Linked DNA regions of Danio rerio. The protein of the gene in region 1 binds, or shares a complex with, the protein of each later gene. Links are inferred from orthologs where the notes say so. Each region holds a gene or a part of one and is shown on either strand. Other genes may lie near its edges.

The links.
Region 2: snrpd2 (region 1) and crnkl1 share a complex: the UniProt entries of both Homo sapiens proteins name them as parts of the minor spliceosome. The link is inferred for Danio rerio from reciprocal best matches to the Homo sapiens genes SNRPD2 and CRNKL1.
Region 3: snrpd2 (region 1) and prpf6 share a complex: the UniProt entries of both Homo sapiens proteins name them as parts of the U4/U6-U5 tri-snRNP complex. The link is inferred for Danio rerio from reciprocal best matches to the Homo sapiens genes SNRPD2 and PRPF6.
Region 4: snrpd2 (region 1) and smx5 share a complex: the UniProt entries of both Homo sapiens proteins name them as parts of the U4/U6-U5 tri-snRNP complex. The link is inferred for Danio rerio from reciprocal best matches to the Homo sapiens genes SNRPD2 and LSM2.
Region 5: snrpd2 (region 1) and lsm6 share a complex: the UniProt entries of both Homo sapiens proteins name them as parts of the U4/U6-U5 tri-snRNP complex. The link is inferred for Danio rerio from reciprocal best matches to the Homo sapiens genes SNRPD2 and LSM6.
Region 6: snrpd2 (region 1) and cwc22 share a complex: the UniProt entries of both Homo sapiens proteins name them as parts of the minor spliceosome. The link is inferred for Danio rerio from reciprocal best matches to the Homo sapiens genes SNRPD2 and CWC22.
Region 7: snrpd2 (region 1) and prpf31 share a complex: the UniProt entries of both Homo sapiens proteins name them as parts of the U4/U6-U5 tri-snRNP complex. The link is inferred for Danio rerio from reciprocal best matches to the Homo sapiens genes SNRPD2 and PRPF31.

Annotation. Positions count from the first base shown.
Region 1 is NC_133193.1:43,800,878-43,804,332, forward strand, and holds the end of snrpd2 (small nuclear ribonucleoprotein Sm D2), read right to left. Parts: intron 1,438-3,455; coding exon 1,263-1,437; 3' UTR 980-1,262; downstream 1-979. UniProt on the Homo sapiens protein: Plays a role in pre-mRNA splicing as a core component of the spliceosomal U1, U2, U4 and U5 small nuclear ribonucleoproteins (snRNPs), the building blocks of the spliceosome.
Region 2 is NC_133195.1:52,274,766-52,279,463, reverse strand, and holds the start of crnkl1 (crooked neck-like protein 1), read right to left. Parts: upstream 3,090-4,698; 5' UTR 3,039-3,089; coding exon 2,991-3,038; exon of another isoform or gene 2,535-2,990; coding exon 2,382-2,534; exon of another isoform or gene 1,678-2,381; intron 1,448-1,677; exon of another isoform or gene 1,416-1,447; intron 1-1,415. UniProt on the Homo sapiens protein: Involved in pre-mRNA splicing process. As a component of the minor spliceosome, involved in the splicing of U12-type introns in pre-mRNAs.
Region 3 is NC_133198.1:7,069,068-7,073,173, forward strand, and holds part of prpf6 (pre-mRNA-processing factor 6), read right to left. Parts: exon of another isoform or gene 1,897-4,106; intron 1,697-1,896; exon of another isoform or gene 765-1,696; coding exon 602-764; exon of another isoform or gene 501-601; intron 1-500. UniProt on the Homo sapiens protein: Involved in pre-mRNA splicing as component of the U4/U6-U5 tri-snRNP complex, one of the building blocks of the spliceosome.
Region 4 is NC_133181.1:30,702,271-30,707,141, reverse strand, and holds smx5 (smx5), read right to left. Parts: upstream 3,233-4,871; 5' UTR 3,157-3,232; coding exon 3,154-3,156; intron 2,738-3,153; coding exon 2,670-2,737; intron 2,558-2,669; coding exon 2,527-2,557; intron 2,435-2,526; coding exon 2,375-2,434; intron 1,513-2,374; coding exon 1,387-1,512; 3' UTR 452-1,386; downstream 1-451. UniProt on the Homo sapiens protein: Plays a role in pre-mRNA splicing as component of the U4/U6-U5 tri-snRNP complex that is involved in spliceosome assembly, and as component of the precatalytic spliceosome (spliceosome B complex).
Region 5 is NC_133176.1:39,352,309-39,356,414, reverse strand, and holds the end of lsm6 (U6 snRNA-associated Sm-like protein LSm6), read right to left. Parts: intron 2,913-4,106; coding exon 2,799-2,912; intron 829-2,798; coding exon 794-828; 3' UTR 599-793; downstream 1-598. UniProt on the Homo sapiens protein: Plays a role in pre-mRNA splicing as component of the U4/U6-U5 tri-snRNP complex that is involved in spliceosome assembly, and as component of the precatalytic spliceosome (spliceosome B complex).
Region 6 is NC_133184.1:45,378,208-45,382,848, forward strand, and holds the start of cwc22 (pre-mRNA-splicing factor CWC22 homolog), read right to left. Parts: upstream 3,147-4,641; 5' UTR 3,116-3,146; coding exon 3,053-3,115; exon of another isoform or gene 2,907-3,052; intron 1-2,906. UniProt on the Homo sapiens protein: Required for pre-mRNA splicing as component of the spliceosome. As a component of the minor spliceosome, involved in the splicing of U12-type introns in pre-mRNAs. Promotes exon-junction complex (EJC) assembly.
Region 7 is NC_133191.1:35,273,657-35,278,471, reverse strand, and holds the start of prpf31 (U4/U6 small nuclear ribonucleoprotein Prp31), read right to left. Parts: upstream 3,212-4,815; 5' UTR 3,107-3,211; intron 3,002-3,106; coding exon 2,792-3,001; intron 2,701-2,791; coding exon 2,640-2,700; intron 1,666-2,639; coding exon 1,582-1,665; intron 1-1,581. UniProt on the Homo sapiens protein: Involved in pre-mRNA splicing as component of the spliceosome. Required for the assembly of the U4/U5/U6 tri-snRNP complex, one of the building blocks of the spliceosome.

The DNA.
Region 1 (3,455 bases):
TCAGGTGATTGTGTAGGTTCAGTAATTTCAAATTTTTTCAAACACAGAAGGCTAAGGAAAAATGCACATTTAAGAGGAAAATTTCTGATGGTGCTTAAAGGTTTCTGCATCTCAACACATTTAATAATACAATAATAATTTTATAATAACATTTTATTTTTAAATATTTTAGACATTTCTTGGCAAAATATTTTAAACATTGTATAAAAACAAGCAAGCAAAATACACTCTCTTTAAACAACTGATCAAATGTTAATAAACTAAATCTATACACAATCTGTCCAAGTTGGTGTCAGCAGTAAATATATGGAGCACTTTTAAACAAATGTTTTTGTAAGGAAAATAATTAAATCATTATGATAAAACAGAGTTAAAAATGACCCTTTTAAATAAAAAGGTTAAAGTTTGGTATTGAGATTAGGATTGTTGCTGTTGCTGATGTGCAATAATGGCCAGATTGGGAAGCACAACATCAGGGTTTCTGCAGGTTTCTTCAAATCAAGTGCAAGACTTTAAGACTCTTAAGACCATGAGTGAAATTTTAGACTTATACAGGGCTAAATATTAAAGTTTTTTTTCTGATGGGTCGGTTACTTCTATAAATAATTTGTATAATGCTGGAAGATCATGTAAAGGGATTCATACAGTAAAAATGTCAGGCTAAATAAATAATGAAAATGAATCATTGACTTCTGCTGTTTTCATTAGTTTCAAAAGCACAGATTTCTTTACAATTTAAAATGACATCTTTGAATATTTTTCCAGCTGGAGATAATGTTGTCCTAAAAAAAAAAAAAAAAAAAAAAAAAAGGAAATAAACTATTTACTATATTATCCTACATACACCCTAGACACAAATGAAAAGATAATGATGACGGTTTTAATACCTTGACTTTTCCGAACAGCAGTATACCTTGAAAACGGTTATCGTTCCATGCCTACATCCTAGAGTCATACAATAGATTGAATAGATCAAGACTTGAATATCCAAAAATTTATTTAGAAAACAAATCACAAATGACAAAACAATAACAACAACAAAATTAACTCCAACATCTTTATCATTTTGTTGACCAGACAATCTCTCCAGATGATGTTAAACGTTTTCCAGCTAAACATTATTGTTTCAGCTCAAGGCATTCTGTGTATGAAGTAATAATTAATTAGCTGAAAAGCCTAATTAGCACTTTTAACACAGTTGTGTGAGTGAGTGTGTGTCCAGGAGACAGCCTGTACTTGAACAGTCGTGTTACACGTCAGCTTTATTTCCCTGTGATGAGTGGGTTCCTCAGCACCACGATGACCGAGTCGCCTCTCAGGAACATCTTGGAGATGTAGCGATCTTTGTTCACTGGCTTTGACTTCTTCTTGCCTTTGCCGCTCTTGGGCACCTCTGTCCACATTTCTTTCACATTCTCCAGAACCATATTACAATGCCTGAGAACACGAGAGAAAACAGACAACAACTTGACATGCAGCCATGTAGATGACTCACTCCAACTAAAATAATGAGTGGTGCGGACCTGAAATAACACCATCAACATGAGATATGCGCTGGAGGATGAGACTGAAACAAAATTGTTAATAAGATTTCTTTAAGACTTTTGTGAAGTGTTAGAAATGGTGAAGTATTGGGTGGGATTTAAATATATCCCCTTATACCTTAAACTGGACATCTTATGTAAATGCTTATGATGCTTATTAAGAACATGTCAAATGTATTACAATAGAGAGAGCATACTGTGTTATGAAAAAAATTGTTTATATATAGTTTATATACTATATAGTAATAGTTTATATATTATATAGTAACAGTTAATATTATGTTTATATATTATATGTTATATAGTAATAGTTTATACTATATAGTAATAGTTAATATTATGTTTATATATTATCTTATATATTAATAGTTTATATATTATATAGTAACAGTTATTATTATGTTTATATATTATGTTATATAGTAATAGTTTATATATTATATAGTAACAGTTATTATTATGTTTATATATTATATGTTATATAGTAATAGTTTATTTATTATATAGTAACAGTTAATATTATATTTATATATTATATGTTATATAGTAATAGTTTATATATTATATAGTAACAGTTAATATTATGTTTATATATTATATATGTTATATAGTAATAGTTTATTTATTATATAGTAACAGTTAATATAATGTTTATATATTATATATGTTATATAGTAATAGTTTATATACTATATAATAATAGTTAATATTATGTTTATATATTATCTTATATATTAATAGTTTATATATTATATAGTAACAGTTATTATGTTTATATATTATATGTTATATAGTAATAGTTTATATATTATATAGTAACAGTTATTATGTTTATATATTATATGTTATATAGTAATAGTTTATTTATTATATAGTAACAGTTAATATTATATTTATATATTATATGTTATATAGTAATAGTTTATATATTATATAGTAACAGTTAATATTATGTTTATATATTACATATGTTATATAGTAATAGTTTATTTATTATATAGTAACAGTTAATATAATGTTTATATATTATATATGTTATATAGTAATAGTTTATATACTATATAATTATAGTTCATATTATGTTTATATATTATCTTATATAGTAATAGTTTATATATTATATAGTAACAGTTAATTTTATGTTTATATATTATATATGTTATATAGTAATAGTTTATATACTATATAATAATAGTTAATATTATGTTTATATATTATATATGTTATATAGTAATAGTTTATATACTATATAATAATAGTTAATATTATGTTTATATATTATATATGTTATATAGTAATAGTTTATTTATTATATAGTAACAGTTAATATAATGTTTATATATTATATATGTTATATAGTAATAGTTTATATACTATTAAGTAATAGTTAATAATTATGTTTATATTAGACTTGGGCGGTAATACAGTAATATAGTATACCGCAGGATCTAAAAATAGCCACGGTGTCAGTTTCAGTACCGTTATACCGTCATAAAAAACATTGAATTTAAATAGTAGACAAGTATTCAATATTAAATATCCTTTATTTATTGCCTACAAATAAGTATGCGTGATTGTCATCACGGGACAGTGTGGAGGAGAGAGAGGGAGGGAGAGTTGAGGTGGCGAGTCGCGCACTAAGTGACCTGCAGTTTGGCAGTATTTCCGGATTCGACCGAACAAGAAGGAAGACGTGGTAAATATGAACTAGAGGTCTGCATTCCTGCTGCTGTACCGCGGGGGACAACCCGATTTCTTGTTGTGCAGGAATACATTTCCGAATATGCAATCTGCGTGTGTCACTTGGTGCTCTCTCTCGGTGTGTGTTTGTGTGTGTGTGAATGAGAGAGAGAGAGAGAGAGAGAGAGAGAGAGAGAGAGAAAGAGAGTTGCTGGGTGTTGCTTGGTTCTC
Region 2 (4,698 bases), on another chromosome or scaffold:
CACAGAAGCATTGTCTGATTGACAAGCACTACAGCTATACGTGTTCAAAAGAATCTAAAACGCTAAATAGGATGAATCTATGCCGCATTTTCTAAAGTAATACAACCTGTACTCAACTTTTTGCTTGTACGGTAACTCTGAACTGTCAAAACACCCTTAGAAAAGTTTTTTTTTTTTTCGAACATTACATATTTGTACATATGTACATCAATGTAACACGTTTTATTCAAGAACAATTGAGCTGGTTTCAGTTGTTAGCTCTTTCATTTTCATCTTATTTAAATATATTTAACTTGCTTGTTGATTAAATCCTGTTTTGTTATTTAACCTATTATTTTTATGCAACAGTGAAGTTGCATGTTAATTTGCTATGAAGAAAAGGAAATAATTAATTTTCTTGCATGCTGATTTATGTGAAATCGTGAATATAGGTCTATATAACCACCTTGCAATTTTGAAATTATAGCTTTTTTGGTTTGAGTAGACTTTTCAGTTCATAAGAGCAGTTCAATCTTTTATTAAGTTTAAAAATATAACATTTTTAAACATTTATAATTATCGACCTATATATATCGACTATCAGCCTCCAAGTCTGAAGAGTTATTAGTTATCGATATACACTAAAAAACCCATATCGGTGCACCCCTAATTATATACCACTGACAGTGGCATTTTAACTTTAAGATATTAATATAATTTTATTCTTTTTGACACATAATATACTGATGACATATTTTCTGCAGATGCACTATGTATATGAAGCTTTTAAAGTATGTATCACAATAATACCATGTGTTATTGAGTTTAGTACATGTATACTAGGAGTTTTATAGAAACGAACATCAAATGCGAAACATCAAATTGACAAAACCTTTACACTGGTAACATCATGTTGTGACCAGATGTACCTTGTTGACATAGCATATTCAAAGCATGAACATTAGGGGTGCAAGATATTGAAAAATAAATCAAACATTGACATATTTTGTTTTTCTGTGATAAATAATGCAAAATGAATATAGGTCCATCAGATGCCTTAACTCTATTTGGGAAGTGTTTATTAATTCAGACTGATTGCAATAAAGGATTGAATCATGCATAAAAAAATAACAAAAAATTACAAGTATTGTTACTTTATGAATTTGTCAAACAGCAAACAGGTACAGGAATTGCAAAAAAATCAAATGTAAATAAAACACTGCATCTTCTTTATTGTAAAAATTATTTTAAAAATGTATCTTTATTAAAGGTACAAATGGTCTAATTTCTTGTGCCTGTGTAACAGGGTTAAAATAATGTTTAATTGTCTTTCACCAAAATGGGTTATTTTGTTTATTTTGTGGCTGTTGAGAGACCTCTTGTGGCAACAGTGTGTAATTGTTTCTTTCACCTTTCACCTGCAAAACCCCGCCTACAGCAGAAAATGGTTGCAGAATGCAGAAAGGCGGTAGGTAAAATGTGCTCCAGCTAAATGTGACAAATTTTGTATTTTAACACATATTAATAACACATACAAGCCCAATATGAACATTAAGTGATGTTTTAGATCAAATCTGTCGAGTGATTGCCGTGTGTGACAAACTTTGTGTGGTTTAATTTGCTCATGCTAGGTGTAGCTGGAATGATGACATTAATATGTGCAAGGGTGATTTCTTACTATTTGTTTGGTTTTTTTAGATGCATGTTTAAATGCATACTGTTGCCAGATGATGTATATTTCTGTTACAGGTATGTTAACCTTTTGTAAATAAATAATGTTTTGTTAAAATGACTTTGTGGCAACACAGCAGAAAATGGTTGCTGAATGCAGAAAGGCGATGCATGTTTAAATGCATACTGTTGCCAGAGGATGTATATTTCTGTTACAGAATAAACAACGCAGAACGCAGTTCTCTGTGTCCGCCTGAGTGATTTGCGTCTTCAGGAAGAGAAGCGTTACACCTGGATGCTTTATACGTTCTTGAAATGTTCATACAGCGGCAGTCCATAAAACACAGGCAGACTTCCACTTTATATACATATATAAACTGTCTTCTGGTCAACTATAAACCCAACAAGACATTGCATATCCTCTGAGTTTTCTGAATATGCACTGTGATAATGCCCATGTTTTCTAGAGGTTTACCATAATAAAATAATACATTTAAACCATAGCGATATCATCTTTTATAATCTACACACCATATCAATACCATATTTTCTGAACATCATGATAGCACTGCGCACATTCTATAAGCAATTGTGACACTACTGTATATTTTTGAGGCATATGCCATGACAGAACCAAGCTTTCAGTACATGCACAGTAATTTAGTACTACTTTATGACATATGCATATAGTGACACCATGGTATACTACATGGTGATACAACATTTCATACCTTTCTCTTTTTCAGTTTGTAGTCATTGAGCTCTTCTTTATCGGTGATCTTCTGTTTGGGTGGCGGTGGCAGCAGCTCGAGCTCTCTCTCTTTGGCCTCTCTGAGCAGCTGCTCGGCGGTGATCTGCACCTCTGCAGGGGCTTTATTCTTCACCTGAACACAAACACAAAACCATTACAAAACAAGACAATCTTTAACCCATCTGGTTATAGTTCTATACATTATACAGTTGTTATTTTCAGAGTGGCACAAGTTCACGTTGTTTACAAGCTAATGCTAACTCACAGCTTTATTCTTCACATGAGCATTAATACAAAACCATTACAAAGCAAGACAACCTTTAACTCAACTGATTACATGTATACACATTATACATCAGTTAACTAATTATAAAGTAACGTTAGCAGAACTACATGTTGTTTACATGCTAATGCTAACTTACAGGGGTTTATTCTTCACCTGAACACAAACACAAATACATTATAAAAAAATAAGCTTAACTCCACTAACCACATTTATATACAGTAGTTAATTATTAAGTAACGTCAGCACGACTTCACGTTGTTTACATGCTAATGCTAACTCACAAAAACATCATATAGGTTTTACCTTCGCCACTTTCGGGATTCTCTGTTTGCCCGCCGCGGTGGACGCCATGATTATTACGCTCCTGACACTTTATTAAAAATAAATTAGACGTATGTTCTTGTGTTTTAGATTTCGAAAGCCCGCTAAAACCTGTAAGGTTAGCGACGTTTCAGTGCCGTGTGTGTCGCGCCTGCCGTGACGCGCTGTGACCTTTGCCTGCATCTACGTCACGGAGCATCTCACCATGGTGACAGGACGCTTGCTAGCGGTTAACGTTATCAATAAATAAAAGGTCAGCAGTTTGAGGCTGTTAAAACTCAGTTTTTTATTGTTATACACCAAAAATACCTGTTTAATTGTTTTATGTTGCTTGTGTATCGACTTTTTGTCAATGTAAGTGAATGCTTGTTGTTTTAAAATATTTTTGCCTATTATTGGCTAGTGACTGAGTTCAAAACTCAACATTTTACATTAATAACGTTAACTTACCTCAATTAAATACCTTAAACGTTTGTTATTTATTTGTTTACTGTTAGATCTGTTTATTGTTAAACCGAATTTTCTTCAATGTGTGTGAATGTTTATTTGTTTTTATAAAGGTTAGTGACGAGGCTCAAAGTAAAGTTACATGTAACGTTATGTTATTTAACTTTATTCGCTCACTGTTAGATTTTTTTATAGTCCGACCTATCTTTAATGTAAGTGAATGTCCATTTTTATTAATTTGTTAATTATGTATTGCTTGTTATTGTGTATGAAATAACCGTAAAGAGTTGTTATTTATTTGTTTACCAAAATAAGTCTGTGCGTGCACACAGACGAAAAACATATAACGTACAATTGAAGTCAGAATTATTAGCCCCCTTTGATTTTTTTTCTTTTTTAAATATTTCCCAAATGATGTTTAACAGAGCAAGGAAATTTTCACATTATGTCTGATAATATTTTGTCTTCTGGAAAAAGTCTTATTTGTTTTATTTTGGCTAGAATAAAAGCAGTTTTTATAAAATAAATAAAAAAATAAAATAAAATTTAAGGTCAATATTATTAGCCCCATGAAGCTATATTTTTGTCTACAGATCATTACACAATAACTTGCCTAATTACCCTGACCTGCCTAGTTAACCTAATTAACCTAATTAAGTCTTTAAATGTCACTTTAAGCTGTATAGTAGTATCTTGAAAATTATCTAATAAAATATTATTTACCTGTCATCATGATTAATTAAATAAATCAGTTATTAGAAATGAGTTAGCAAAAACTATTATGTTTAGAAATGTGTTGAAAAGAAATCTGCTCTCCGTTAAACAGAAATTAGGGAAAAAATAAACAAGGGGGCTAATAATTCAACTGACTTCAACTGTATATTACGTCTACAGTTGTGCTCGAATGTTTACATACCACTTATATAATCTGTTAAATGTGAATAATTTTAACAAAAGTAGCAACATAATACAAAATACATGGTAATTTGTAATAAGTATTGTACCATACACTCCTCAAAAATCTTTATTTTATATTCATGTTTTTAATAGGAAGCTGCAGTATTATATTTGTGCAAATACATTAGTCAGTACTGAAGCCAAATCTGGAGCTTATCAAACAAAACAACTTACAATAACGGCCCAAAAACTAGAAAAGCCAAAAAATTTTATAGGAAAATATTAAATACAATTTTTTTTTTCAAAAGAGGAAAAATCAAGAGAAGCAAAAACAAAAAAGGAAAAT
Region 3 (4,106 bases), on another chromosome or scaffold:
GAATGCAAGTCTTTGTACATGAGGCCCCTGGAAAATTCTAAAGAATTCGCATGACATTCTGAGCCAAAAACATGGACAGAGAAAGACATTCAATGCTTTCAGAGGCTCTCTTTCTCCCTTAAAAGAGCTATTGATATCAGTCAATGCTCGCTACACATGCAGCTTCTTCTTCAAAAAATCAGTAATCAAAAATCAGTATGGTCACACAGTGTGTGAAATATAACCCCACACTGCCATGCCAACAATTTATGCAAATCATCTCATGAATAATCAGCCATTACTAAAATGGCAGAGCAACAAGATTTTTTAAAACCGTACTAATTACTTGAAATTATTACATAGAGTTAACCAGTTAATCATCGGAGAGACATTGATGAAGTAGCAGTGCCAGACTATTTAGAAATCCTTTATTATAAAGGCGGAGATTCAGGACAGTTTAACATGCTGAGACTGATAAAAGATCCTACATAACTAACAAGTCATCTGTCTCTGTCATACAGGTATGCACCTGAAAAAAGAGCCAGTGACAGTGGAAAGAGAAAACTGATGAGGGGAGAGACTGAGAAAGTAAAGAAAGAGAGGGAGACGGAGAGAGACTGACCTTTCCTGAGCACTCTTTTCTTGGCCCTGATGTCCGTCTCCAGCTCAGCGGCTCTGATGTAGATGCGCACAGACTGAGGGAGGTGTCGCACTGCTTGGGCAACTACTGCTTTCGCTGTGTCTCCAGGCTGCAGACGCGCAGCTTCTAGCCAAACATCCTCACTCTGAACAGACAAAACACAACACGGGTTATACACGCATGCCCACACACAGTGAAGCTGATGCACACATATAAAACACTCATCAGGGCCGTACAATGTATCATTTTATCATCGATATCACAATGTGAGAGTACGCAATGCTAGTCAAGTCACAGTCCAGTTGGGTTTTTAGTTGACCAGACGATATAGTTCATAGCACTGTGGAATCATTGTTTATTCATTGGATCAAAGTTTAACCTCAGAGTGAAGCTTTCAAATGCATCTGTAATTTCTTTCATCATTTACTAATCCTTTCCTGGTTTCAAACAATTATGAGTTTATTTTTTTTCTGTTGAACATGAATATTAAAAAAAGTTGGAAGCCTGTAACCACTGACTTCCATAATTTTGTTTTTTCCTACTATGGAAGTCAATGGTTTTCAGCTTTCTTCAACAATATATAATTTTATCTTCAACAGAAGCATGAAATTATTTTCGAAAGGTTTTAGGGCTGTCAAAGTCTAAAGGTTTTTTCCTGAAACTTAAAAAACCTCCATCTCCTGTTAACATTTACATGCTTAACCACTGATTAGTCGTTGTGCTCAGATGCTCAACAGAAATGGCTATAATTGGCTGTACAGGTCATCAGTTCATCACTCTTCACCGCTGTTCACCAAGTGCAAGCACAGAGTCACAGGCACTAGTGATCCATCAGATTGCTCATATGTCAGCACATAGACAGATCTGCTGATTGACACAGCTTTCAAATGCTCCACAGCCAACCACAGTCATTTCTGTTGAGCATGAACACAGTGGCTAATCAGCAATGTTTAAGAACGTGCTCAACAGTGATCATATTTAAAATACAGATTGGTATCAAACGATATTTCTAACAACCCTAAAAAGTTTAGAACAACTTGAGGAAGTGTAAAGAGAGTGAGCAAATTTAGATTTTTGGCTGAACTATCCCTTTAAGTCAGGGGTGTCCAAACTCGGTCCTGGAGGGCAGGTGTTCTGAAGAGTTTAGCTCCAACCTTATTTAAACACACATGAACCAGCTAATCAAGCTCTTACTAGATACACTAGAAACATCCTGGCAGGTGGTTTGTAGCAAGTTGGAGCTAAACTCAGCAGGACACCGGCGCTCCAGGACCGAGTTTGGACATCCCTGCTTTAAGTGAAAGTGAAACCAGCAATACTGGCCAGTGCAGCAGCACAAAATAACCTTTTTGTGGTTCATATATTTGGCCAGTTTTCTCTTTTTTTGCAATATTCAGCAGCAAAAAATCTGTGCATCTCAAAATGAAACCATACATTTAAACCATATTAGAAGAGTTCAGATGCAAAAACCTCTAAAAGCCATTTGAAATTTCCTTCAAAAATAATCAATTTTATCAGGGTCCTGTGTGTAGGTTCAGTAAATTTAAGTTTATGGCAAAGAATACACTCTTTTAAAGGTCCTTAAAATAAAATAACTCAACATAAACATAAGAGTCTGAGAAAAATGCTCATTTTCAATGGATATTTCAGACAGAACTTAGAGGTGTTCGCATCTGAACTCTTCATATGTATGCATTTTGTTTATGCAGGCTACCAGGAACATGGCAGACATGGCAGCACACCAACTTATGATTGGCAGAGCTCAAGTTCCTTCAAATAAACTGCACAAACAGAAGCACTACACCAGTTTGTTTTAACTGAACCAAATGTACCAAGACACTTGTGTACCCAATGTACTCAAGACACTCAAACAGGCCTTTTTTCTATTATTAAATTTCAAAGCTAGCACAACTGTCTGTAAAGTGGTAACAAGACTTTAATTTACAATTTTATGTACAAATTTCTCCACTCCTGATAATTTTCATAACAAAAGCCATAGCCTGCTGGCTGTCCAAATCAGCAATTTCATTTGGATATATTTTATACCCTAGGGAAAAAGCAACAATTCACTTCTGACAGAACATAACATATTAATTATTTAATCAGCAGATGTAATAACAAAAACAGACAGGTGCAAAAAATTGGGCACCCTAACAGAATAATAACTTCAATGTTTTGTACAGCCAACTTATGCTGAAATAAAAGCCTGTTGTTGATTCTTATTGCCAAGGATAAGTCCCTGAACTCTTGCTGAAGGCATTTTGGTCCATTCTTCCCTGCAAAATTTCACCAGTTCAGTCAGGTTTGATGGGTGCAAACCATAAACTGCCCTTTCCAAACCAACCCATAGATTCTCAATAATGTTTAAGTCTGGGGACTGGGATGGCCATATCAGAACATTGTATCATGTCGGAGCATGAATTCCATGGTAGATCTGCAACTGTGTTTTGGGTCATTGTCCTGCTGAAACATACAACCCTGCCGTAACTTCAGCCTCTTGACTGATTCCTAAACATTGGTCTTCAGAATCTGCTGATACTGGGTAAAATCCATGCAACCTTTGCTGTAATTCTGACAAGGTTTCTAGTACATGTGCTTGCCACACTTCCCCACAGAATGATGGACCCTCCACCATATTTTACAGCAGGGAGCAGGTTCTTCTCCTGAAATGCTTTGTTCTTTTTCCACCATGCAAAGCGCCTATGGTTGTGGCATCTGTCTACAGAATATTTTTCTAAAATGATTCAGGCTTGTCCAGATGAGCCTTTGCATACCTCAAACGAATCTTCTAGTTGGCAGAATGCAGAGAAGTCTTCCTCTGCATCACCTTCCATTAAGCTGTTCTTTGTGAAGAGTGCGCTGAACTGTGGAACTATCTACAATGACATTATTAGCAGCAAGTTGTTCCTGGAGCTCTTTGCAGGTGGTCTGTGGTTTGTTTGTGACCATTCTAACCATTCTTCGCCCTTTGCCTTTCAGATATTTTTTCTTGGTCAAACACATCTTTCCTTCACAAGAACTGTTCCTGGGGCCTTCCATTTTCTTACTATATTTCTGACTGTGGAGATATAGACTTTAAACCTTTGTGATAGCTTTTTGCATCCACCTAATTAATGTTGATGAATTGTCCTAGTTTTTAGATCATTAGGAAGTTATTTTAGGGATCCTATGCTACTATTTTGTAGTTAGCAATCAGCTATCTTAAATATCCATTTTCATGATTGGTTTGACCTGTATCAGGATAGTTAAGAGTCACTCAAATCAATTCTGTGTTGTAATCAATCAGCATTAAATGACTACAGGTTGTGAAATCCACACGAAAAAGGATGCCCAAACTTTTGCATAGCCTTTTTTTCAGTTTCAATTAAATTTCACACATCTCAATACAGCTAAACTACGTATTTTTGTCTGAAAAACATGACTATAGCCCCTTTCACACAGTGATACCGGTAAATTTCTGGAAAATTTCCGGAACGACTTTACCGGT
Region 4 (4,871 bases), on another chromosome or scaffold:
AGAATGCAACTTTAAAGTGAACTGTGCTATAAACAAATTAAGAAATATATTCGTGTTTTTTTTTTCCTTAATATTTTTCGCCGCACACCCTGTGGTACTTTTAGGGATTTAAAATTACTAAATGTAAGGCAAGGTGTATCCTACTGAAGAAAAATGAATAAATTATCAAAATTGAAAATCATGGCTTGTCACGGTTTAAAGTACTATGCAAAATGACACTCAAAAAATCTTTACTACTATATAAAAAAATAAAATAGTAACCCTCCCTAATATGAATATTTAATAAATTACATACATTGTAAAAACGACAACAAATGTTTTCATTACTTTCCTTTTTTAAGTTAATCAGTTTAACTTAACATATTTGTCATTTGACTTATAGAAATGTAGATGACAATTTATTTTGAACTAAAACACCTAAACATATTTTTGTAGTGTGGTCTACATTCGCTTTGATAAAGCCATGATTACTTTATTAGCGCATAAAAGTGCCTAAAAAACACAAAACAAAGGCACTGGTATATTTTAGGAACAGTAACTACGAGTTTCTTTTACTCTAAACAACTTACTTTTTTGTTTGGGACTAGGCTGTAAACTACAGGTGTCAAATTCAGTTCCTGGGGGGGCTGCAGCTCTGCACTGTTTAGTTCAGTTTAAGTAAGCACAACCAGATTAAAGTAATTAAATCTTTCGGGCTTCTTTGAAACCCAACCCTGCTCCAATACACTTGGAACTGAACTGTGCAGGGCTGCAGCACTCCAGGAATTGAGTTTGACACCTCTGCTAAACTATCCATTCACCTTAACCCAAGGGTGTCCAAACTCAATCTTGGAGGGCCGGTGTCCTGGAGATTTTAGCTCCAACCTGCCTCAACACATCTGCAATTATGTTTTTAGTAAGAGCTTGATTAGCTAGCCCTGGTGTGTCTGATTGGGTATGGAACTAAACTTTGCAGGACACCAGCCCTACAGGACCGAGTTTGGACATGCCTGCCTAAACCAAAACACCAGCATTCCACGAACATAATTTGTAAAATGCTGTCAGCTGAACTCCAACAATGGACGATTTTTTCCACCAAAAGGAAAGTGTGAAAACAGAGGAAAATACTTTATTTTTGCATCAATGTGTGAACCTAACTAAAAGTCATTGGTATGCAGTACAGAACTTTACCAACACTCATTAAAAGCACACAACCACTAACTTGTGAAGTAAAAAAAAAAAAACAGTAAATCACACCCTCAATAACAGGCTTCACATGACGTAAAAATGAAAGAGAAAAAAAAAACTTTACATGTTTTAGGTAAGAAAAACATTTAAATCAACAAAACTCCACAGATGATGCTTCTGAACATTGGAACAAAACCAAACTATTCTCAAATATAAACATTATTGTTTCTGTTGTGTAGCTTCTTTGCGTGCAGCATCCTGTAGTAGCTGTGTGTCCACTTCATCTGCAGGAAGCTGAACGTATCGCACCACTGATCCACGAATGAAGCAGTTCTTCACAGACAACTACAACAAAACAATATTAGAGTCATCTATATACACCAAAGTTCTCCTTGTTGAGCACCTACATCACTATGACAATTCATAAATCACAGACTTAATAACCTGATCTACATTAATTTAGGAATCAATTCAATTATCAGGGTTCCCTCTTTAACCCTTTAGCTGCCTGCTCTATCAAATGGTTGACCGTATTTTCACCGTTTTAAATAATGGTTTTCACTACACAGCATTGTTGGTTTACAAAAAAAAATCCTGTTGCAATTCTACACTTGCTTTCTAGTTAGTTTTTTTGACAATAAAACCAAAGCAATGTTATATGAGAATCTGAAAATATTTTATTGCATATTTCAAAAAATAAAGATGACTTAGTATTCAAAAAAAAATTTTATTTTGAATATTCTTTAAAATAAATTGGTCCTACACTTGCTATTTTCAGATTTTTCATAGTATTAATTTCTGTACTTTTACCATAAACCAATATATCAACCATGACATGAACATAACAGGCTTCTGTAGTGCTTATAAAAAATTGTAATATTAAATTAAAAATATATTGAAATGGTTTTAGCCATTTTATTACATTCATTTAATAGCCACTATGAGAACAACAAATGATAATTTACTTAATATAAAAAAAAAATACTTGCGGTTTGCATGGCTGTAAATATCAAATATATTTTAATAAAGAAAAGCTAAAATGTAAAGTAACAAACAAAAAATCCCTGTTATTCCATGAATCTGACAAAAATATATCAACATTTCCTAAATTTCAATGTCTGAAATGAACCTTTTAAAATTCCATGACATTGATAAAGATATTAGACCCAAGATTATGAGTGTAATTTTCATTTCATCCATTTCTCACCATGTGCGGATATTTCTCTGGATCAGTAACACTGATATCTGTCAGTTTGATGTTCAGGTACTGTGAGGGAAGAACAAATGACAAGATTAACTTAATCCTAAATCGCCCAATATTTGTTTATATTAATAAACGTGTGGAGTCAGTTTCCGTACCTGATCAACTGAATGTAATGTTCCACATATGCTGCAAAATAGATGTGTTCATAGTTTTACGAGCTGGCACATACATTATAAAATATGTATATTCAATTTCTAATTATATATATAATATTTGTAAAAGAAAGGTGAGCACTCACCTCAAGTCATTCTTGAGCTCCACCACAACATCTTTGCCAACCAAAGACTTGAAAAACGAGTAGAAGAGCTGAGAATAAACATTTGAAGGAATTACTCTCAAAATATGAGGCGGACAGCAAATAAGACATCGATAAAACGATTGAATCAAGTTTTATCAACAGACCAAATGAGAAATGTCAACAGCAAATAACACTGCTTTCTAAATTACGCAGGCAAATGAAATACCAAGACTTTAATATAATAGGAGTCAGCCAGAGTTGTTTCTGTTGGGCATTTAATTAAGGGGATAATCCTTGCTTGAGAATGTTGTTTTATTTGGCTATGAAGAAAGCTAGCGTTAGCTGTTAGCATGAAGCATTGTTTGTCTTTCTCGCGAACACAGTGGTCAAAAAAACCTAAATATGTTAAACAAATGGTCGTAGCACGTTTATTAATTCCTTAAACGTAAATTACTGTATGATATTGCTAAATAACAACACTTACCATTTTCACGCGGCTTTGTGCTTTAGATCACATACGTCATCAAAAAGCTGCCGGGTCTTTCACTCTGTGCTTCTATTGGCTAGAAGAATGAAGACGTAAAAATCCCATTGGTCGCGAAATTGTTGGCGTTTTGTTCTGTTTTTGCGTCATTTGTACTCATCTCAGTAAATTATTCCGCAATCGTTCATCACACAAAAGAGATTAAAAGGCGCATGTTCAATGGATGTGAAATATTTTCTTAAAACAGTCAACTTTATGCCCGAAGAGGTACATGACATGTCTGACACAGAGCTTGCTGATACACGTACATGGCTCCTCTTTTCTGGCAATTCCCTCTTTCGTCAGCAGATGGAGACAAATAATAATAAAGCACAGTCCAGGGCTCAGGTTAATCCTCTGCGTTATCCCCATTTATAAAACAAAAAAGCAGTCCACTTACAAAACGCTATATTGTAAAACAAAACAAAACCTCCACGACATGCTAATGATTATAATGTTTTTCACGATTATGTATTTATGTGCATCCAAAAAATGTAAATTCAGCCAATTTAATCAATTTACTTGTTTAAAACCATCTTGATCTTTCCATATTTTGAAGAACGTTGGGAACCTGTAACCATTGACTTTAATAGTATGACAAACAAATACTATGAATGTCAGTGCTTACAAGTTTTCAACATTTCTGAAAATAAAAATGGATTTTGGATTCTCTATAATTTAAAGATAAATGTTCCTAAACATATAGAGCCTTCTTATAACATTATGCTTTAATATGCATTCTCCTGTTTTTAAAAGCAAGCATTCTGAAAATTACCTAGAATGAATATAAGCAGGGATGGGCAGTATTTATGATAGGGTTGATGGAAATGGCTTAATGTTTTGTATTAAAAATACATTAATGTCTTTTATTTTTGTAGTTTAAAATATTGTAAAATACTTTGATGCTAAATGTTTGTCACTGAAACAAACAACATAACAATAAGTCCTACAATAAGTCCTACAAAAGGGACTAAGCCGAAAAGACAATGAATGAATAAATGAGTGGCGATTCCGATGCTGTTTCAAATGCCAGTAGTTGATCTGCAGATGCACTGTACTGTTAATGAAAAAGAAAGATGTACTGTATGCCTAAACATGTAAAAGTGACAACATGAGAAACGCACATTTAATAATTAAAAACTTCTGACAGGTTATACAGAAGGAACATGATATAATATATGAAAAGTTTATTTGCAAAAAAAGATAATTTTTTGAAAGTTTCAGAAATCATGTTTTTACACTGAGTATTAAAGAATCAGTTTAATGGTGAAGGGACTGATCAAATGGGCTTATTAATGAAAGGTTTGCCAACAAATATCATGTTCCTATTTAAAAATATTTTGTAGAATTTTTTAAAATACAAAAATACTGTATTTTATTTTGATACATTTTGTGGCTGAGGTATTTTGTAGTTTATTTTGATATACTTAAACTTATGGTTTTTGGTATTTTATTTTAAAATATATTTAAATGTTTTTGCCCAACCCTGATGATAAGCATTTAAAAACAACACATAAACACACAGACACAGGCTGCATCCGAAACCGCCTACTACTCAGTAGGTACTGCAGTTGAATTTAAACGTACTACTCAGCCGTTAGAAAAGTACGTTCTATACTGTATGAATGTGAAAAGTATGGATGGAATTCGGACGTACTACATCCGACATTTTGTCGTGG
Region 5 (4,106 bases), on another chromosome or scaffold:
CTCATAAAATTTCTGCCAATACTTGTGGCATTTGTTGTTTTGCTGTGGCTGAACGTGCATTGCAATAATGTCCTGTGAATTGTGTAAAACATGTCACACACCTAAAGAGAGGTGCAGCAATATGCCATGTCTATTACAGCTCAAGGTATTGAAAATTTTGATGAGCATTTTCTATACGCAAATATAATGTTATATAAGTAAATAAAGAGCAAGAAATCTGAGAAAAAAAAAAAAAAAATTGCAACCTCTTCTAAAAACTTGCACAACTGCTGCCTATTTATCTATTGTAGGTCATAGAAATTCTGCTTTTTAGTTAATAAATGGTCAGGGAATTCAACATTTAACTTTCCTGAAACCTTGAAAAAAAATAAGACAACAGAACAATCAGATAGATTTGTTTAAAAAAAAAAAAAAATGACAACATGCAATGAAAGTCTGTTAGATCAAATAAAGTGCAACAGCTGGTAGATTACGCATTGGATAGGAAATGTGGAAATAAAGAAGCTTTCAACAACCTCCAGACTTGAAAGTGCTAATCAGCAATTTCTTATGACTGAATTATCACTGTTTAAATATTCATAGGCACCTCGAGAACTGATAAATCAGGGAAACATGAACACAATTTATTGTTGGAAAACAAATGATTTACTGCATCGTTCTGCAGGACAGCAAATGTGTGTTACAAAACATTTAACAAACTTAGACATCATCATCAGCTAACAAAGGATTTATGAATATTAACAGTAAACAATTGACTTCTCTAACAACGCATGAAGAAATAAGTAAAGCAGCTTCACATCTTCCTCTTCTGGGTGCTGATGTATAACACTAGAGGGCAAAGAAAACAATAATTTACTTTGTTATAAGCATTATCTTTGTAAGTCTGAAACTAACATACTCTGAGCTTCTGAAACTGCATCACTGTTTTCTGTTTAAAGGGATTGTACACCCAAAGATAAACATTTAGGCTACATTTATGACAATGATGTAACCAAAAAAAAAAAACCATCTTAGCTTTACCCAAAACACCTACTATTAGGGCTGGGCTGATAAACAATGTTATATCAAATCGCAATAGATTTTGGTTCAATAACAATGATAAGCTCGGGACTTTTTTATTCTATGTTGATCTTAAAGCCAATCACAGACCAGAAATGTGCAACAAAGGGAATCTAGAAGTGCGTTATTACAATTTTGAATATGCGCATTAAAAAAATATATGGAAATGCCAAGATGTTCATAAATTTTGAAAATGCGCATTAAAAAAATGGATGCGCATAACTGAGTAGGACAAACTTTATTCCATACGAAAAGATACACATAAACTACAATGGAAACACTTGTACCAAACAAGTTCCAGTAGGCACAAAAAAAAAAAAAGTAATGTGATTTTGTTATAAGAGATAATGTGATAATGAACATGTGTGAATGGTATTGTAATACATCTGAAATGTTGTTTTTGGCATTCTAAAATGCCTTAACAGTTTTAATATTAGTGTTATCTTATATTATTAATGATCTCCAGAGCCGTAAAGAGCATCTGTGCTCCGCTTTTGAGGCCTTTAAATGCCACTGAGGAGCAAGTCCATTTATGAAATAAAGAAAAGATTTTTGCAGCTTCTCCTACCGCAGCAAATTTAATTTTTACTGTATATATTTGGCACCTGTTATTCATGAAATGATGATTTTGTTCACTTTGACTCGTTGGATGAAAAGGTCTGCTGCATTTGCACATCTTATGCAATATTCCAGTTTTGCGCATAAAGTTAATTCACATTTTTGGATGTTAACATGGGGGATACTCTTTTAAATCTGGAAGTATTAACAACTTATATCAAAATATATTTTGTTATTGTTCAATATTGAAAATAATTATCATATCGCCCAGCACTTCCTACTATGAAAAAGCATGATGTCATCATTTTTAAAAACTCCCAGTTGTTTTGAGCATTTACACAAACAGGAAAACGCCAGGGTTTTCAAAAACTTTCACTTTGTAAACTACTTTCAGATTTTTGTGTTGACTAAACAAACAGGAAAATGCATGAAATGTTTTCCATTTTAGGCTGAATACCTTAACCCTTTTTTATCACTTAGTTTCTCTCAAACGATTCCAAACCCTCATTAGTTTCGTTTTTCTTCAGAAAACAGATGAAAATATTCTAAAGAATGTTGGTAAACAGTAGCCAAAAATTCCAATGTAAAAAAAAAATTGTACTTGGGATTTCAATAGCCATGTTACCGTCCACCCATTTTTATCCACATATTGCACAAAAATGCTTAATGGAAATGTGCATCAATTTAGAAAATGTGCATATGCAATACGAAAAAAAAAAACGTACATTAACTATGATGGAAACAGATGTACTGAATAAATTGCAGCATGCACATGAAAAAGTCATGCGATTCTGTTTTAACAAATCATCTGATACTATAAATGACAGTGGGACAGCATTAAGGGAGAAACCAGCAACTCAACCAAAATGCACAAGCGACCTTCTTGCTGTGAGGCAACAGTGCTAACCACTGAGACACCATGTCACCCATTCTGATGTTATTTGATCGCCAATATTTTATGCAATAATCCAGCTGTGCATCTAATTTACATATTTGAATGGAAAGATAGCTCATGGCAACTAGTTACCAACATTCTTCAAAGCATCTGCACCTTTGAAAGAACAAAAACTCAAACAGCTTTGAAAAAAGTAAGTCAAGTAAATGATGACAAATTTGATTTTTATGTGAACTATCCTTTTAAGGAGCTATAAATAACAGAAAAAATATAAATAAAGACCTACCATTATTTCCTCTGAGGAATGCATCTCCATACTTGTTCTTCAGTTGGCCGTTGACATATTCCTCTGTCTGTTCCACCGCAATATTCATGTAGCCGTCAAGGCAGGCCAGGACTCCTGAAGGCAAGATGCACATTAAGCATGACGAAACATTTACATTATGATTTCAGAGGATTTCTTGGAAGATCAGGGGTAAAGGCAGGACTGTGTAGTGCTTGTTGGAAAACTTAACATTCTCTTCAAGTGATATTTAAAAATTCACAAGATTCTGCATTACGATTGGGTGGGTGTGAAAGTTAAACATCCCACCCACAGTTATGCACCTCCAGACTAGATAAACTCTGAGTCAAAATGATGTTTCTCTGGGAATATATATTTTTCTAAGTATTGGATAACATAAGACCAATTTTTATTTTGATCAACAGAATATTTTTATTATTAATTTTTAACAACAAGTTCAATCTCTCAGTTGATGTACATCAATAACAGTTACATATTTAACAAAATAACTAAATAAATAAAACATAAATTTATATATACAGTTGAAGTCAGAATTTTTAGCCCCCCTGATTTATTAGCGCCCCTGTTTATTTTTTTCCCCAATTTCTGTTTAATGGAGGGAAGATTGTTTCAGCACATTTCTAAGCATAATAGTTATAATAACTTATTTCTAATAACTGGTTTATTTTATCTTTGCCATGATGACAGTAAATGATATTTTACTAGATATTTTTCAAGACACTTCTATACAGCTTAAAGTGACATTTAAAGGCTTAACTAGGTCAATTAGGTTAACTCGACAGGTTAGGGCAATTAGGCAAGTTGTTCTATATCAATGGTTTGTTCTGTAGACTGTTAGGGAAAAAATAGCTTAAAGGGGCTAATAATTTTGTCCCAAAAATGGTTTTTAAAAAATTTAAAACTGCTTTAATTCTTGCCAAAATAAAACAAATCAGACTTTCTCCAGAGGAAAAAATATTATCAGACATACTGTGAAAATGTCCTTGCTCTATTAAAAATCATTTGGGAAATATTTAAAAAAGCAAAAAAAAAAAAAAAAATTCTAAAGGGGGCTAATAATTCTGACTTCAACTGTGTGTGTGTGTGTGTGTGTGTGTGTGTGTGTGTGTGTGTGTGTATATATATATATATATATATATATATATATATATATATATATATTAGGGCTGTAACGATACACCAAACCCACGATTCGGTTCGTATCACGATTTTTGACCCACGATTCGATTCGTATCACGATTTTTTATTTTATTTTTTTCGTGTGGGATGGAAAAAAAAAAGATTTTTAAA
Region 6 (4,641 bases), on another chromosome or scaffold:
CTATGGTGTCAGTAATGCGAATCTCTCTGTGCCGTTTCTGCATCTGCCACAGACGGATACGGGACTCTCAAAGAATAGCCATGAGCTTGCTTTCCTCTGTATAAGACACATACACACACTCGCCATCCTATATGTCCCTACTGAGCCTAATCCCAGGCTGTACGCAGTGGGAGACTCGAGTGATTTCTGCAAACTTATGGCAAACTACTCTTTCAAACATGGATCTGCCATTCAGCAGGTAGGCTGGTATTTCAGACTTAGACACACACACACTAAGAATGCTGAGCACTAAAGGAATAAATCATTCAGAAACACACTGCATGGCCGACAACAAAAAAAGGATAATATATGAGTAAGGGGAGCGAGAGCAATATCAGCACTTCTACATAAACCTAAAAAAGCTGGACTGGAGTTTCTTTCAGTGCCAATGAAAAGAGTGGCATCATTGCAAATTACAGCAAATAACTAACAGCCAGATCATGATTTAAACCAGCGATGTCCAATTCTGCTCCTGGAGGGTCACACCGTCCTGCAGAGTTTAGCTACAGATAATACACAAGCCTTAATGTTTCTAAGGATCCTGAAGACTTTCACTAGCCGTGTCGGGGATACTGGGAATAAAGAGAAAGCTACCCACAATAGGAATGGTTACGTCTTTAAAATTGTGTCATCTAAACGCTTTTCAATGTGCTGCATCTTAAAGAAAAACATCTTATTCCTGCTGTCGTTGTTCTTAAAGGTGCAGTAGGTGATTGTCTTTAGAAACATTTTTTGCTGTGCTGATTGAAAGTCTCTTTACATTCCAATAGTAATGACTGTAGTAAATGATCTAAATGTATTTATATGTATTTTTCACAGTTTAAGGGAACTACACGCTGGTGAATGTTTGACGCTGGTGAAAGCAATTACTTTGTGCAACTAATGGGTCAAACAATCATCAAAATTATGTCACAGAATGTTTTATTTTATGAGTGAAGTCTTTAATGTGCTTTTAAATCATTTTATTATATTCAAAGCAGCACTTAGATGCGAATTTATCCTGAAAATGTGGCATGAGAGCTATGCATGTCAAGTGTCGGATGATTGCCTTTTTTGGGTGCATTTCTGATCCTTTTGCATAAAGGTTTTAATCAAAAGACAGGTAATTTAATTACTTTCGATGTGCTAAAATTTTTGTTAAACGAATGCTATTTTAAACAAGCGCATGCACATATTAAAACTGTAAAACAGACTTAAGTGCATGGTCTAATCGGAAATAAAGCAAATTAGTTATACATTTCATTATTTAATGCATAAAATAGGCTAGTCTTTTTATAAATTGAGTTTAACTGATTTGAAACTTTTAATTGCATTTTTAGGTCTTGTAAATAATAAAAGTTGCATCAGATTGATGAAAAATGAACCTGAATACCTGCCTGAACAGGGCCACAATTACTTGTTCGTGTCTAAGAAAGTTGTTAACCCCGTTTAGAGAATCATTAAAGGCTGATTTATACTTCTGTGTCAAGCGCACGTATGCTACGGTGCAGCCTACGCGTTGACGCATAGCCCTACGCAATGGCCGTCGCTGACATGCACCTCTCAAAAAAATGTAATTACATGTCGCAGTGACGCGTAGCACAAGATCTGATTGCTCGGCTTGGTAGCGCTGGAGATTCAGGATGGGACCAAGCGGAGCTATTGTTTACAAGTGTAGAGACTCGTGAAGGAGCTCCGGATGGAAAGTTTTGTTTTGTATTTACCTCATGGTTAAAGTTGTTGCACGTCCGTCGGTTCCTGCCTCAAAATGAGTGAGTTTGAGCCACTTGTACATTTAGGAAGCGTTCAGAAAAAACAAAACACTAGTGAAGAACCTCGACACAAAGGAACATTAACACCTGAGTGCCAACTAGCGTTTCGGAAGTGTTATTGCAGAACAACAGAAACAGTGCGCAAAAGTATAAATGCACAGCTACATGCGTTGCATGCACCGTGGGTCACGACGATCACTTCACGCAGAAGTATAAACCAGGCTTTATGGGTGTTTTACATTATACCTAACAAGGTTCAAATGAAGGATCTGCAACAGAGAAACTACGGATTTTGGTAAACATTCATCACTACATCGTTCTTTTCCCAAACGATGTGTCATACTATGATAGTTCAGCCGCAAATAAATAAATAAATGTTCAAAGAGATTAACAGTACATGTTAAAAATATATTTATGTACAAAAACTGTTTTTGTAATTGCAATAGTATTTCATAATGTTACTGTTTTCAAAATAGTTAAAGCCCCAAAAATAGCACAGGTACATAAAAACCATGTTTGGGGAAAAAGACCATAACATACTCTCCTAACTTAGCATAAGGTTTTAAAGGGCACAGCAAAATTATAACAATTTAATGAACGTACAATACAATCTAAGCAGTGAAACAGTTTAATAACAAACTTGTACCAATATTTGGAGTTTAGGCATTACGTTTGCTAATCTTAAACGAAAAATTCAGCCAAGGTCATATATTATTAACACGGACTTTCAATATATTTAATTCACTAACGTATGTATTAAATCAATATGCACAAATGTTTCCTATCATAAACGATACGATGTTGTCTATAGATTTCTCTTTATCTCATTGCTTTTAAAATAGATTTCACTAACGTGATATAAAAATATGGAAATGTCGGCCTACGCAATAAATATGTAACGTTAAACTAGATTTTGATTAACATTAAGTTACTTGTTGAACGGTAATTGGTTTATATTGTTATCGTTTTCGGCCTAATCCCTATCGTAACTTGTCTTTCAAATGTAACTTGAATTTTACAGACACTCAGTGGACTAAATGACAAACATAATAGTTTATCATGGGTTTAAATCAGAGTGTTTATGTTCATAATGTACACAAATGATCTCACACAAACCAAAGCAGCGCCATCTGCTCCACGCGTGCAGGCCCACAACCCGTAAAATCCCACCGGAACACATCCACGAGCCGCTTTAAAACTGCTCAGCGCGGTCAAACAAACATATCGACTTCATAATCTGGAACTAACAGCGAAGTTCTTACCTCATCTCTCGATGTAGGCCCCATATTCATTGCCGTCTGAGATTCGTTTGACTCAGCCGCCATCTTTCCCGCCGTATTCCGGAAGTGATGCTACGGGGCCTCGCGAGGTTCCAAAAGTGTGGAAAAACGCGTTTTTCTTTAGCAGTCAAACTGCAATACTGAACATATGTTGGATGATTATCATCACTGATGGAAAAACAACTATGCGTCAGGAAACAGATGCCTTGATATTATTTTTACATTACATTAATGGCTTGAAGCTAATTTAAGATTCTGTTTAGAACATAGGTAAGAAATGTAAATATAATGATTAATGGGAAAAACAAAGACTACTATATTTTTCCAGGAATCAGAGGTGTACTGTATATTTATGCAAATATTATTTTCAGGAATCACAGCTATACTGTATGTCAGAATTGTTTTAATTAACCATTGATATAGGATTTGCACTTTCACAACCGTACAATAAAATTAATTAAATAATTTTCAACATTATTATTATTCATTCATTTCTTGTCGGCTTAGTCTCTTTATTAATTCGGGGTCACCACAGAGGAATGAACCGCCAACTTATCCTTATTCAGTTTTTACGTCGTGGATGCCCTTCCAGCCGCAACCCATCACTGGGAAACATCCACACTCTCACACACACACACACACACACACACACACACACACACACACACACACACACACACACACACGCAAACACACACGCAAACACACACGCAAACACACACGCAAACAAAAACACACACACACACACACACACACACACACGTTTGTAGCTCATGTTTTTGGACTGTGGGGGAAACCGGAGCACCCAAAAGCAGGGAGAACATGCAAACTCCACACAGAAATGCCAACTGAGCAGAGGATCGAACCAACAACCTAGCGACCTTCTTGCTGTGTCGTGACAGCACTACCTACTGCGCCACTGCGCCGCCCCATTATTATCATTATTATTATTATTAGTTGTAGTAATAGTATAAGTAGTAAATATTAATACTTAACAAATAGAAACAAAAACAGAAAATATCAAACCATTATTTTGGGCATTGGATACAGCAATAAAATGAAATAATATAAAATAAAACTATTGTTAATGAAATGTAAATAAAAATATTTTAATTTTCACAAGATAAATGATTTAATAATTGGTTTGTTTGCTTTTATAATTTAAAACCAAGGTTAAAAAAAAAAACTCATTTTTATTATGCACAAATTTGCACACACTTCTAGAACAAAAACATTTTTTTTTTGGATGAATTTAAGTGCAAAATTCTTTTTTTTTTTTTTTTTTGACATAACACACTCTCAGAAATAAAGGTACGCGAGCTGTCATTGGGGTGGTAACTTTTCAAAAGGTACACATTTGTACTTAAAGGGTCCATATTGGTACCTGAAGAGTATATATTAGTACCTAAAAATATTAAGAGGAACACTTTTGTACTTTTAAGGTAATAATACGTACCCTTGAGGTATTAGTATGGACCTTTTAGGTACATATTTGTACCTTTTGAAAAGGGACCACCCCAGTGACAGCTCACGTACCTTTATTTCTGAGAGTGTAGAGTAAAATGTTTCTA
Region 7 (4,815 bases), on another chromosome or scaffold:
AATACAGTAATAAACGAACACACTACACCATGTCTAACAAAACACTGCAATCATGTTTCAAAATGAAATTATTGTTCAAAACACTAACACATGTTCTCTTCCAACATAAACATTCAGTCAATCAGAACACACTGACAATAAAAACACTATCATCAGCTGACATTACAGAAACTCCATTAGTTTATGTGTCAGCTCTGCCCTTATATTTGAAGTCTCGTTACAGTTTTGTTTCGTTGGGTTAAGTAAATGCATGCATTTTCTTTCGTTTACGGCAAAAATTCTATACGAAAGGAAGAAAAAAATTGCTTTATAAAATTTACAGTTTATGTAAAAAAAATACAGACACAGAATTTCTGCAGTACAGACTTTTTTTGCAGAAGGACATCACTGCAAACAGGAAAAGCACCACAACTATAATAAAATAACAAAGTAATCTTCTATACTTCCCGGTCTTTTGCCACAAGTTCTCATCCACATTATACTTGATATCTTCTGTGGCCCGGCACGGTAACTGTGGCCCTTTGGCCTATTATGTTTTTCCTACGGCGACATCCCCAGCCTTGTCAACATTGAAAATTTCATGTGGTACTTGATTGGCCTCTAACTTCATGACTCTCTGAAAGTAATTAGACACAGTGTATGCAAATGCTGTACTGTATATGTACTGTATGTACTAATGAACTCCATATATATATATATATGAGAGAGACTCATATTGCGGTTATATATATATATATTTAAAAAATAAATAAATATATATATATATATATATATATATATATATATATATATATATTTATTTATTTATATAACCGCAATATGCTGTTTCTCATTGGCAATTGAATAAAATAAAGGGAATAAACTTGTGTTTCAATTCACAATTAGAACAGCTGTTCACTTTGACTTTATCCTATATAATTTCTGTTTAGAACATGGTGTTATCTGTTCTGACATACTGTGTTAAAGCATTTGTAAATTTGACTGTAAAATTACATTGTTTTCTTGGTTGTGCTTGTGTGTAAAAGAAGTTAAAGCATTTTAAATTTGTGTTAACTGGATGCATTTTGTGTCAAAACAACAATAAATGTGTTAATTGTATAGCCCACGAAGACGGATGTTGTGCTAACTGTGTTAAGAGTTTAGGAAACTTGTTAAATGTATTGATAAAAGTGTCATAGCAATTGTAAAAAACTGTAATAAAGTCTGCATTTTGTGTGTAAATCAGTGGTGTGCCTTCTTTACTACAGACAAACTCAAGCACTGTCTGCCATTTCACTATACGAGGACATTAACTTCATCTGCTATGCTCCAAGAGCCACTTCAAAAGCATTATAACATTTTATGAAAAAAACTATAATAATAATAATAATAATACAATGTAAAAAAATAATGTATGCAGAATTTCACAGAATTTCAAATTCAGAATATTAAAATGCAAAAACAGTCAGAATCATGGTAAAAGCTCATTTGGAAAAATGAATAATTAAGCAAATATATCTGAAATTTGCCTTTATAGCTTTAGTGTTACAATTCATATAATGTGAATTTAATACACAGGTATAAAACAAACAGTGAACTCACTAAGCTCGTTGTCTATTTCCACCGTCAGATTGTTGGCGGCAACAATGAGCCTGTACTCTGGGTCTGCTTCAACCGGTCCAGACACTGAAAAAAGAGGAAATACCATGTTAAAAAAAGTTTCACTTGTGCCTAAAACTGTTTAAATTCATTTCTTTGGTTGAACATAAAACCTGTAACCCTTGACTTCCATAGTGTTTGCTTTTAATAAAGATGTTAATGGTTAAAGTTTTCAAATTTATCATCAAAATATTTACATTTTTTGTATTCAACAAAATAAAACAAAACAAAAACCTCATTGAACCATTGAGGGTGAGCAGATTTTAATACCTAATTTCACCATCCCTTTTAAACAACGTTAATTAAAATTAGTATTCTCTATATGTATTAGACATGGTCTTCTACAGTTTAAGGGGCTTCATAGTCTTCACCTATCAAGGAGTAAGCTGGCAAAAATGTATTCAGGGTCAGATTCATCTTGCTCCAGATGTGGTTTGAAGCCAGCAGATCTGAGTTGTATGTTCTGTGGATGACCTAGATTATCTCAATTCTGGACCAATATTTTAGATCATTTTCATCTATGTCACAATGATATGGATCCTGATTCTTTGACTTAATTTTTTAAGTTAAAATAAATGTTCACCAGCACGCTTTACAAAAAAAAAAAAAAAAAGTTACTACTTATCTTCATTGATGTAAAGTTAGTTTTATATTTGCACATTCTGACTCTCACCCTCTTAATGCAATTTCAGGGAAGTATTTTACAAATTCTAAATAGAGAAATCATATCAGGAGCCCATGACTATGAAAATACAACATTGTGCAGTCAAACAGTAGAACTAATGTTGTTTTGAAGTCTGAATATTTAGCCTGAATTGGATTTCAGAAATAATATCCAAAGTAGCGTGACAAACAATGCAGGGACCTTGTCACAAGTAGTTACTTTGTGTTTAAATTATTACGTCATTATAAATAGTCTGTATTAGGCTTTTAAAATCTGCTTTAGTATTTTATTGAACACCAAAGTCTGAATGTGTGAATAAAAACAACCTCAACGTTACCTTCTGAATTCTTGCGTTGATTTCCAACATAGTGACTGATTTTATCCATGATTTCAGCGAACTGCAACATATCAACAAGTCTGCAATAAGTTAGGTTCTAAAAATAGATCTGAAATGAAGCTGTGTGTGAGTTATTGATGTCAGAAACTGACCGGTTTGCTGTGTCGTAGTTTAGCTATGGACGTGACGCTCTCCGTGCTGCTGTAATCCACCTCCATCTCCTCCGGGATGTCCTCCAGTCCTCCATCAACTTGTCTTTCTCCGGGCTCTCCATCACTCTCTCCCTCTTCTCCGCCGGGATACAGCCCGTCCTCTTCTCCTGCCTCCTCCAAATCCGCAAGCAGCTCGTCTGCCAAAGACATCTACGAAGACAGTGAGAAAATAAATCACAACTAGACAATAAACACTGCTGTTTGATAATCGCAATCTTTAAGAAAGTGTTCAAGGTAAAATCAGACCAAACTTACAACTCAACCCGCCTGTTTTCTTCTCACTTTATGGAAAGAACAGAAGCCAACATGCAACGACTTACAAACGCCAAACAACGATCTGCAGTCGCACAGTAAATACGTCACATGTTTCACAGCAAAGGCTTCTGGGAAATGTGTTCAGGAAGATTCGAAATAAAAAAGTCCATGACCTATTTGTTTTTTTTTTGCTCCTTGTACACATTTTGGACATGAAAGAAGTTAAATTTTGAATGATTAACAATAATTTGGATGCATGGATTTGTTTAAGGTATATAGGTTCATTCCACTATGGTGTCGAAGGCAAATGAATTAATAAATGAAGTTTGTAAACTTCATTCTTTCATTCATTCATTTTTCCTTTGACATAGTCCCTTTATTCATCTGAGGGCACCACAGTGGCACCACACCACCAACTTATCCAGCATATGTTTTACGCAGCCGCAACCCAACATCAGGGAACACCCACACACTTTCATTCACACACATACACTACAGCCAAGTTAGGCTACCCAATTCAACTGTGCCGCATGTATTTGGGGGAAACCGTTACCGGAGCACCCAGAGGAAACCCACGCCTACATGGGGAGAACATGTAAACTCCACACAGAAATGCCAACTGACCCAGCCGAGGTGACAGCATTACCCTCTCCGCCATATCGCTCCAATAGTCTCCATCGCTCTAATGAATTATTGTGCTCTAAAACCAGGCCTTTCAGTCTCATTGTCCAACTGTAGATGTGTAATACTTTTATTTTAAAACGAATTTGTATAATATTTGAATAATATTGACATTCACAGTGCACTGTTACTGTTCATCTGCTAGACAAATCAGTTTTTAGATCAATCACAGCCCTACACATGCAAAACTGTGCGGTTATACTTAGTAATTTTGTAAACTGAGTTTAAAAAGTGTGAGTTTAAGAGTTCAATTATTTTTCTAATATTAGTCTAACGTTTCTCTACATTAACACTGATTTGGTCATTTCCACCACAGCTGTCATTTCCATCACCACACATATTTAAAAAAAAAATTTAAGTTCTTATCACACTTTAAAAATGAATTCACAATTTATGAGCTCATGCTCTATTTAATACAAATTCATTTATTTTGTAATAAGCTTTTAATCAAATTAAATTTTAGAGTGTGACAGGTGTACAATTCAGCATTTGGTCCTAAGAGACTCATTTATTTAATTGACAAATGTATAATTATTGTACACATTATGGAAAGATTGGTTAAACTGGATATAAAAAGGATCTCAGACAACTTTTTACTGCCATAATTGATTTCATTTTGAAATAAAAGCTGTATATTGAGATGTGATGGAAATGACGTTTGCTCATTTTATGATGGAAAAAATGTTAAATATAAACAATCTCTCTTCTTATCTAAGTTTGTGCTCTTACACATCTTAAAACTAGACAAATTGTTTAAACTTGAGGCCAGGATTTGTTAATTTTTACTCAACTTCACAAGACTAAAAGTGCCCGTAGTTGAAAAGTTTCCCAAATACACATTACATTACATTGCTGAAAAGCCTGACATCAACCTAAATTCTTTTATTTGGTTATTATATTAATATTTGTGTGTGTGTGTGTGTCTGTAAAAAATAAATAACAGAATAATAAAGATGTTATGAACATAGCATATAAATTGTGAATTAAATTGTGCTTCAAAAAAAAGATTTAATAGATATTTTGATTTT